Cricetulus griseus: one gene and its partner. The protein of the gene in region 2 interacts with the protein of the main gene of each other region in a biochemical or structural test. Links are inferred from orthologs where the notes say so. Each region holds a gene or a part of one and is shown on either strand. Other genes may lie near its edges.

The links.
Region 1: the proteins of histone PARylation factor 1 (region 2) and Parp2 form a complex in vitro, tested with the Homo sapiens proteins (2 studies listed by BioGRID). The link is inferred for Cricetulus griseus from reciprocal best matches to the Homo sapiens genes HPF1 and PARP2.

The regions. Positions count from the first base shown.
Region 1 is NW_023276807.1:206,468,660-206,473,235, reverse strand, and holds the start of Parp2 (poly [ADP-ribose] polymerase 2), read right to left. Parts: upstream 2,939-4,576; 5' UTR 2,853-2,938; coding exon 2,813-2,852; intron 2,463-2,812; exon of another isoform or gene 2,352-2,462; intron 456-2,351; coding exon 309-455; intron 35-308; coding exon 1-34. UniProt on the Homo sapiens protein: Poly-ADP-ribosyltransferase that mediates poly-ADP-ribosylation of proteins and plays a key role in DNA repair.
Region 2 is NW_023276806.1:238,645,534-238,649,925, reverse strand, and holds the start of histone PARylation factor 1, read right to left. Parts: upstream 2,852-4,392; coding exon 2,834-2,851; intron 2,570-2,833; coding exon 2,410-2,569; intron 924-2,409; coding exon 734-923; intron 1-733. UniProt on the Homo sapiens protein: Cofactor for serine ADP-ribosylation that confers serine specificity on PARP1 and PARP2 and plays a key role in DNA damage response.

The DNA of each region.
Region 1 (4,576 bases), on a different chromosome or scaffold from region 2:
GCTTTGCCCTTTATCAGCAAGGCCTTCACCGTGTCTGAGGGAACAGAAATGCGCACTGTTGGTACTTATGTGGGAATCAAGAGGGCTGTCTTGGCTTGAAAGCTGTCATAATTAACTTTGCCCTTCCTGAGTAATCTGGGTCTTCTGCCTAGGTTGTAATCCATCTCAAATCTATGAAAATAAAGGATTCGACAAAGTATACTGGTACTGCAGAATGCCTAAATGATACAGAAATTAATTATATCTTCAAAGAGGAAGAAATATCATCCCACTTCCTTCAGAGGCCCGAGAGCTGCCTGGCCTGTTACCTTGCTGGCTGTTTGTCCTGTCTGCATCCTTTCCTCCAGCCGTAGGCCCCTTTCTCTGGCATGTACGCATTTTCTTGCCAGGAGGAAAGTCTTCTGTTGCTTTGCTGCCATTATTAACTTTCTTGGCTTCATTTAGCACCTCAGAAGCTAAAGGCAAGATCAACAAGCAAAGAATTACTACAGAAGATGATCTAATAAGTAAACAACACCGAAGCAAAATAAAAAAAAAAAAACCAGGAAAAGTTAGGAGGAAAATATAAGGAACCCCTCACTCTAGAGTCTGAGAAGCAAGAATTCCAGCAAAATTAACATGTGCTGTGAAGATTGCTGACCTAGATACTCAAATATTTTTTATGTTAAAATGACAATCAATTGGGCTTACCGCCTAGATATATATGGCAATGGGGTTGGGCTCATTTCTCTCCCATTCTATGGAAATCTTAAACAGACGATGAACATTGTTTACATGAAGAAAAACCTAACTTCCTGCATCCCTTATGATCTAGATTTTGACATTGTAATTCTGTCAGACCCACCTCGGGAAATACAATCTTATTTAAATTCTTTAACAACTCTTGCATACATCTCTATTATAAAGAAGGGCAACTCCTCTTAGAGAAGCCCACACGCATGTTCTGTGGTGTCTTTCTTCTCAGGTATTTCTTTTCTTCTAACCCTTGTGCTTAAAATGTATGCTAGTATCTCTTTTAATAAACTCCCAACTCTGGTTCATCTTGCATACTCCTGAAATTCCTTTCTACCTTAAAGCCAAGAGTGAAAGGTCAGGCATTATGCTGGTCTGCCACTGTTACCTGGTGGAATCCACTCAGGCAGTATGCTGGTCAGCTCAGGGTTCCATGGGAACTAAGTCTGCACGCAGGTGTAAAGGACCCCTTTAAAAGACAGACTCCTGCCCACTTATGCTCTCTCTGCTCCTCTCTCTTCTCCTTTCCCACCTACGCTCTCTCTGCCCCTCAGTCTCTTCTCTCTGCCTCTCTCTCTTTGGCAACCAGCCATAGCGGTCAGCCATTAACCCTGTTCCTCTTCCCTCTTAGTCTCTTTACTCTGTCGGGCCTAGAATAAACTGGTTAATATGTCTCATCTCATGTCTCATCCTGCGCCTCTTCTTTTATTTCTAATTTAAGCAAAAGAATTTGCCTGAGTGGAGGTCTCTGAAAAAAACTTTGGTTGCAGCCAGGGATACCAGAGTTGTGTCCCTTTCCTTGAATATGCTGACAATAAGAAAAAAGGGGGGGGGTTATGATTTTATTTTTACATGTATGGATGTTTTGTTTGCAATTATGCATGTGTACTACATGAATGCCTGGTGTACCTGGAGGTCAGAAGAAGGCATAAAATCTGGTAAGGTGGCTATGACCAACCACGTGGGTGTTTGGAATTGAACCCAGGTCCTCTTCAAGAGCAACAAGTGCTTTTAAAAAGCACAATCCAACTCTCTAGCCCTCTGACAATTTCTTTTCTTTAACTTTGAGATAGTGTCTGTCTACATAGCCCTGGCTATCCTGGAACTCACAGAGATCCTCCTGCCTCTGCCCCTCCCAAGGGCTAGGATTAAATGGGCCAATACACCCACCGTTCTAACAAATTCTGAAGAAAGAACTTAAGGGGGCTGGAAAGATGGGTCAGGGGATTTGGGTTCAAGTCCCATCACTCACATGGTGGGACACAACTGGGGTCAGTAACCCCAGTTCCAGGGTATCCAACGCCTCCTTCTGGCCTCCAGGCACACACACACTTGATATATATATATATATATATGTATATATATATATATATATATATATATATATATTTATAATATTCAAAGATTAAATAATTTTTTAAGAAATAATTTAAGATGTTCTTTTGGACGTTTACAAATAAATGCCACACCACTCACTACTCTTGAAACAATCCAAGCAATCCTTCCTAAAGTGCTCTCCTGACCATATATTAACAAAAAACAGGAAAAAAATAAATGTACAGAGATGTTCGAAGTTCATTACTTGTGGCATGGGCCTGCTAACCTTTGGTCTTCCATACCTTATTTCAAACTAGATCATGTGATCATGGTCAATAAGGTGTTCTACAGTCTGGACCAGTTTACAGCCAGCTTATTGAAGCTTCAGAACCCTGGAGTTGGTCATACCTCAGCTGTAAGAAATGTAAAAATGAGACCACACCAATAGTATGTAACTTAATAGGATACAATTAAGAACACAGTATGCAATCCACAGCCAACAATTCCGAGATCTGAATTTTACTTTCTGAACTCGGCTGTATCTTTAAAAGTTTGACATAAGTAGTTAATCACTTTCCTATACGCGTTTATCCTTTGGCAGTGCTACACTCAATAACGAAGACCTTCTTTTAATTGCATGGCATTAGTGAGTAACAGTACTTGGCAGTTATGTCTGCTGTTACGGCTCCACACGCCTCTTCGGATTGAACTGTAGAATGAAAAGACGAGCTGTTCCCTCTGACTCTGCGGACACGGTTCTCACCTCGCCTCCTGCAGCTGGATCTCCGCCGCCGCGGCGCCATGGCGCTTGAGGCCCGACGTCATCATAAGCAGCCGAAAAGCGCGGGCTTCTTGTCTGGAGCGGGAGCCTGCGCTAGATCGCATGCAAATAAAGTGTGCGCTGTGCCTTGTGGGAAACCACCATAACTGAGAAAGCGCTTTCTCTCCGGAGCCTTATAAAGCCCGCCATTCACCAGGCTGTAGTGGGCGGAGGAAGCTCATCAGCGGGGCCACGTGCTGAGTGCTCGTCACTCCCCGGCCCCTGGGAAGGTCTGAGACTGGGGCCTCCCGCGGCCCTAACCGGGCCCTCCCCGAGCGGGGAGGTGAGTTCCCAGAGAGCAGGGCTCCACGCGTGGGCAGACTGGGCAGGAGAGGCCCCCGAGCGGGCGGATGCCTCCCTCGCCGGAGCTTGGAACAGACTCACGGCCAGCGCAGATCGAGTTCAATGGCTGAGGTGAGGTACCTCGCGGACCTCATAACCCAATTCAGACTACTCTCCCCTGCCCTTTTATATTTCTATGTTTTCTTCCAAATCTCAATTCTGTTTTACTCATTTTTAACTGTGCATTTAACTACTCCCTGAGAGCTGCGCAAATCTGCGATTACAACAGATATTTAGTACAATTTTACTAAAATATTTAGCTAGTTCCAGGACAGCCTCCAAAGCCAGAGAAACCGTCTTGAAAGAAACCAAGTAAACCCCCATAAAACAAATATTTAGAAGAGAGTTGGACATCATGACCATATATATTATGGCTTTAGAAAAAAAATAGATGTAGCTTATGCATGTAGCTTGCAATTAAGAATAAATTATATATATATATTATATGTACATATCAAAAGCAAAAGTGAACCTGTAGCTTGTAGTCCCATAGAAGAACAGGCTGGGGGATTCCTCACCAAGGAAAAGAGCAGAGCCGAGCTAGGAGCACGAGCTAGGAGAAGCGTTTGAAATGGGAGTGGAGCAGGGTTCATTGTAAGCCAGGCTTTCCTACCAAGGTCAGAAGCTGTGACTTGACTCATGTGTAGATACCTCAGATTAACTAATGACCAATACTCAAAAATAAAAATTTTGATTATGGTTTCCCATCCCTCATCTCTTCCCAGATTCTCCCCACCTCCCCATCTCCCCACTCACCCATCCAACTCCACACCTTCTTTTTTTTTTTTTTTTTTTTTTGGTTTTTCGAGACAGGGCTTCTTTTGTGGCTTTGGAGGCTGTCCTGGAACTAGCTCTTGTAGACCAGGCTGGTCTCCAACTCACAGAGATCCGCCTGCCTCTGGCTCCCAAATGCTGGAATTAAAGGCGCGCGCCACCAATGCCCGGCAACTCCATGCCTTCTTGCTCTTGATTTAGAAAACAGACAATTAAAAGATAAATAAAAATCACAAGTGATATGTACACATGCCACCACCGACACACACAAACCCCAAAGCTCATTAAAGAAAATAAAGTGTGTGTGTGGTGCTGATCGCTTTTAATTGTGGACTCTGGAGAAAGAGGCATGCCTATTTCTGAATTTAAGGCTAGCCTGATCTACAGTGTGAATTCCGGGACAGCCAGGGCTACACAGAGAAACCCTCTCAGAAAAACAAAACAAAAGAATAAAAAATAAAGGCAGAAAAAGCATAAGAAAAATATACACGCATACACACACACACACACACACACACACACACACACACACACACAAGCAAACAAACAAACCCCTAAAAACATGAAGTTGGAAACCATAACATACAAGCA
Region 2 (4,392 bases):
GAAGAATCTTATTCATGTATATTTTATTTTAAAATTGAAGAAACCAGTAGATTCTTGGCTAAGGTTCTAGCAGCCAATTAGTGTCAAAACCAAGAACAAAATCCATCTGACCCCATTCTCAGCCCCACGAGTGTTCTGTACAGTACTTCTCTGTAGCCATGACTCATCTTTTCTTCTATTACTTCACTTTGACTTTACAACACAGGACTACTGCTACATGTGCACAAGCTATTTTTCACATTACCCTATCTGCTAACAGTTTACCTATCTGCGGGCATTCCCTTCATTCTCATAATATTCCTATCAAATATATGCTATTATCTCTGTAATTTTAAGAAACTGAGTCACAGAAAGACCACAGTCACCACTGACTGGCATACCCTCATCAAGATAATAAATGGCAGGACCAATCTTTTGAGTCCTTTGGCCCCTGGAAGTGCATGGTTTAAGTCAAACAACTGGTTTACATCATCTTATTTGGGCTTCAAACAAGCTCTTCTGATCCCCAAAGGACAAAACTTTATATTGGAAGAGAAAAAGAGATCAGGGAAGATTAATGTAAAGAGTTCACCAGCCTAGGCAGGCTACAGAGGTGAAGGATAGCCAGAACAATAGGTAAACCACAGAGCCACCATAAGAGGAAACAAGTCTTTCCTTGGGGATGCCAGTGAAGGGCTGGAAGACTCATTGATACCAAAGCAGCTGTATTTGAGAGAGAGAGATGATCTTTTACCTGAAATACCCCATGTGGTACTGAGTTTTATTATCTCCAATAATAATGGTCTGGAACTCAGGAGGGTCATAGTAAAACCTCCAGTGAAGATTACAGTTCAAGCCTGTGGATTTTGTCTTCATTTTATGTTTCCCAGCAAGGATATCATAGGGACCCACTAACCGAAGTCCAAGGCTTGTGGCAAGTGCATCTATAAGGAAAATAAGTTTACTCAGGCAACACTTTCTAGAGGCAAGTAGGAAATAATGCCTTTCATCACTTTTTTTTTTTTTCTCTTATTTTGAGACAGGGTTTTTCTGTGTAGCCCTGGCTGTTATGGAATTTACCGTGTAGACCAGGCTGGCCTCAAAATGAGAGGTTCACTTCCCCCTGCCTCCTGATTCCAAATAATTCTTAAGCAAGTTGTTTTAAAGAATGCTTTTAAAATCTGTAAAAGTGTTTTTGCTCAATGGAAGAATGTTTAACAGAAATGTGGCACTAAATTTAGAATTCCCTCTAAACCTACTACTGAAGTAGCTTAACATTTGAAACATTCCTGTCCCTCATGTAGCCCAAGCCAAGCTGCTCTGCATTCTTTTAGGCCTAAGAGCCACACATTTCCCTTGCCTCACTGCTATCCACTATTAGCTACAAATACACAGATTATGGGGGAGACAACATAGGTCAACGATAGAAAAAACCATTTTCTTTCCTTCTCCTCAGTGGGCACTCCAGGTTCTGTTGACTTTCAGCTACACTGTGGACCATAACACTCAATGACTCCATCTGTTTTCACAACCATGGGGGCAGAGTAAGAAAACCACAGTGCCATGAAGGCTGTGCAGATGTGCAAACTGATAATCTCACAGTGCCTGCAGCTTTTCTAGGAAGGATACAATCAAGCATTAAGCCCTCCACCCCTCAGTAAATATCCTTGAAGAAAATTCTTAGTTTACTTAGTCTATAAGACAAGTTTATGCAACTGCTAATTTTCCTTTACACGTACATGGAGGAATATCCTGAAACCGATTGCCTTTGCCAATAGGTGACAGTAGCATATTATAGCATTATGGTTTGAGTATGACGTTAAACTAAAAAGGCTCATGTACTGAAAGCATGGGCCCCAGCTAGTGACATTACTGAGAAGTGACCTGGCCAGTAGGAGGTAAGGTCTGGCCGGAGGAAGTGGTCAATGACTTGAAGGGTTCCATCCTATCCTATGATTCTTGCACCCTAATGTTCTTTGCTTTCTGTTTGCCAAGATGTACACAAGTTTCCCAACACATCCCTCTGGCATAACATATCACAGGCCCCCAAACAAGAAAGTCAACTAACCAGGGTCAGGAACCTTTAAAACCATGACTCCAAATAACTCTGTCTTCCTGCCAGGCTGTTTTTCTCAGGTCACAGCCATAAAAACTGACTACAGTTAAGTATTAATTTGTTTCTTTGACAACATAGCTCTCATTACAAACTGTGGGAATGTTCCTCTGTCTTCTTTTTTTGATATGATCTCACTGTGTAGCCCAGGCTGGCCTGAAACTCGTTAAACTCTCAAACCAGTGTCCTAATTTCGGAGACTGTAATAGGCATGTGTCACCATACCTGATTGCAATCCCCTTTCTCTATGAGTTGGTTCTGTCTTTCCTCCAGTGTCCTATCATCTCTTCCAGTCACAGAAGCACAAAGGAACTCACCAGCTGGCTTTTCAGGATCAAGGTCTTCACAGAACTTCCAGAAGTGATAGAAATCTTCAGGCAGGGAAAGCTTATAAAGGTCTTCGACTTCTTTTCGAAGGTCGCTGGAGACATCGGCTTCACAGGATTTACTTTTCTTCACTTCAACTGTCTTCTCACGCTGGAAATTGGCATATATAACTTTAGTTCTCCATAAGAAACCCCTAGCAACTCACCTTGCATACCAATTATCACCTATAGTTGGTTAGTTTCTATGAACTACATACATTTTTTCTAAAGATTTACTTTTATTATTGTGAATTATGTACATGTGTGTATGTCTGTGTTGGGGTTATGTGGCTACCTGTATTGGAGTTATATGATGTTGAGAGCTGCCCAACATATCAGGAACTGAACCTGGGTCCTCTGAAAGACCAATGCATACTCTTAACTGTTGAGCCATCTTTTGAGCACCATTTTAATATATGTTAAAAAATGACATTTATAAATAAAATCCTAGGAATTCTTTCATACAAAGTAGAAATAGTTTACATGGTGGTCAAGTAATACCTACACACAGCATGTCTTTAAATATGCTTCTCCATGGTAGCAGAAACACAAAAGAAAAATTTTAAAAATTGTCAAAAAGGCAGAATTTCATTACTCCATAATCAGCACTAAAGATGATTGCCTGGGCAAAGCCAACATGGGATATACAGTGAAACCATCTTAAAAAACAGCAAATAAAAAAAATGTACAATGGCACATATGTACAAAGAAGCCAGGATGAAACCAATTACTTTGTATTCTAACCACAATCATTGTGAACCTTCCATTTACAACTGGGGGCTTCCCTTTTAACACTCCAAACAAAATGAGGGGAGAGATGCTAAAGTTAATGAGAATAAACTCTGATCGAAAACCAACCACTTATTTCAGAAAAGGCTTTGTAATGCCAAGACTTGCTATTCTTTGCATCTTCCAGCACCCGTGCAACGTAAACAAGCTAGGCTTGAGGATGCTACTAGACAGCTGACTCATTCCTGCCATGGAAACATGCATTTGGAGTATATTATTCCCATCACAGTCCTCCTTTCAACCCAGACCTGGCTCTGAACAGAGGGTAACTGGACATATAACCCTCTCAGGGCTAGTGGCATCTAGTGGTGCAGAGGCTGGGGACAATGCTCAACACTGTACAATGCACAGGAGGGCTGCACTCAATGTCAATTATACTAGAGTTGAGAACTTTCACCTAAGTGTTTCTGATAATTATGTTTTCTCAGAGGCCCAGGTCTATTAATATGTATCAAAGTCTACCTGGTGTATTTACAAATCAAATGGCATGGTTGTTCACCATGGCACTGTCCTTAGGGATTTAAATGCCAACTGACAGGGGAATGGATAGTTACAGGGCTTTCAAACAATGGAGTACACTAAATAAAGGGGAGTATAGTTAGACAACAAGGCTCAATTATGAACTATTTGAAAGGAGTAGGTGTAGCCTTGTTAGAGGAAGTATGTCACTGGGGGTGGGCTTTGAGATTTCAAAAAGCCCATCCCAATCCTAGAGTCTCTCTTCCTGCTGCCCGTGAACGAGATGCAGAACATCCAGCTACTTTTCCAGCACCATGTCTGCCTGCACCCCACCACACTTCCAGCCCTGATGATAATGGACTAAACCTCTGAAACTGTAAGCTAGCCCCAATTAAATGTTTTATAAAAGTTATTATAGTCACAGTGTCTCTTTACAGCAATAAAACAAGATGTACCATAATAGCTTTTTAAAGAAAACAACAAACTCTAAAAGGCAAGTGAAAACTCAAATTCAGGGTGATAAAGTGACTAGAAGCAGCAGGTAGTTTAGGCAGAAAGGATAAGGAACATAGGTGAGTGGATGCAGAGATGTGGTAGTGTTTTATCTTCAAAGCTATTTTTTTAATTTAAATTTATTAAATACAATATATTTTGGTCACTTCCCCCACGCCCCCCCCCAACTCAACA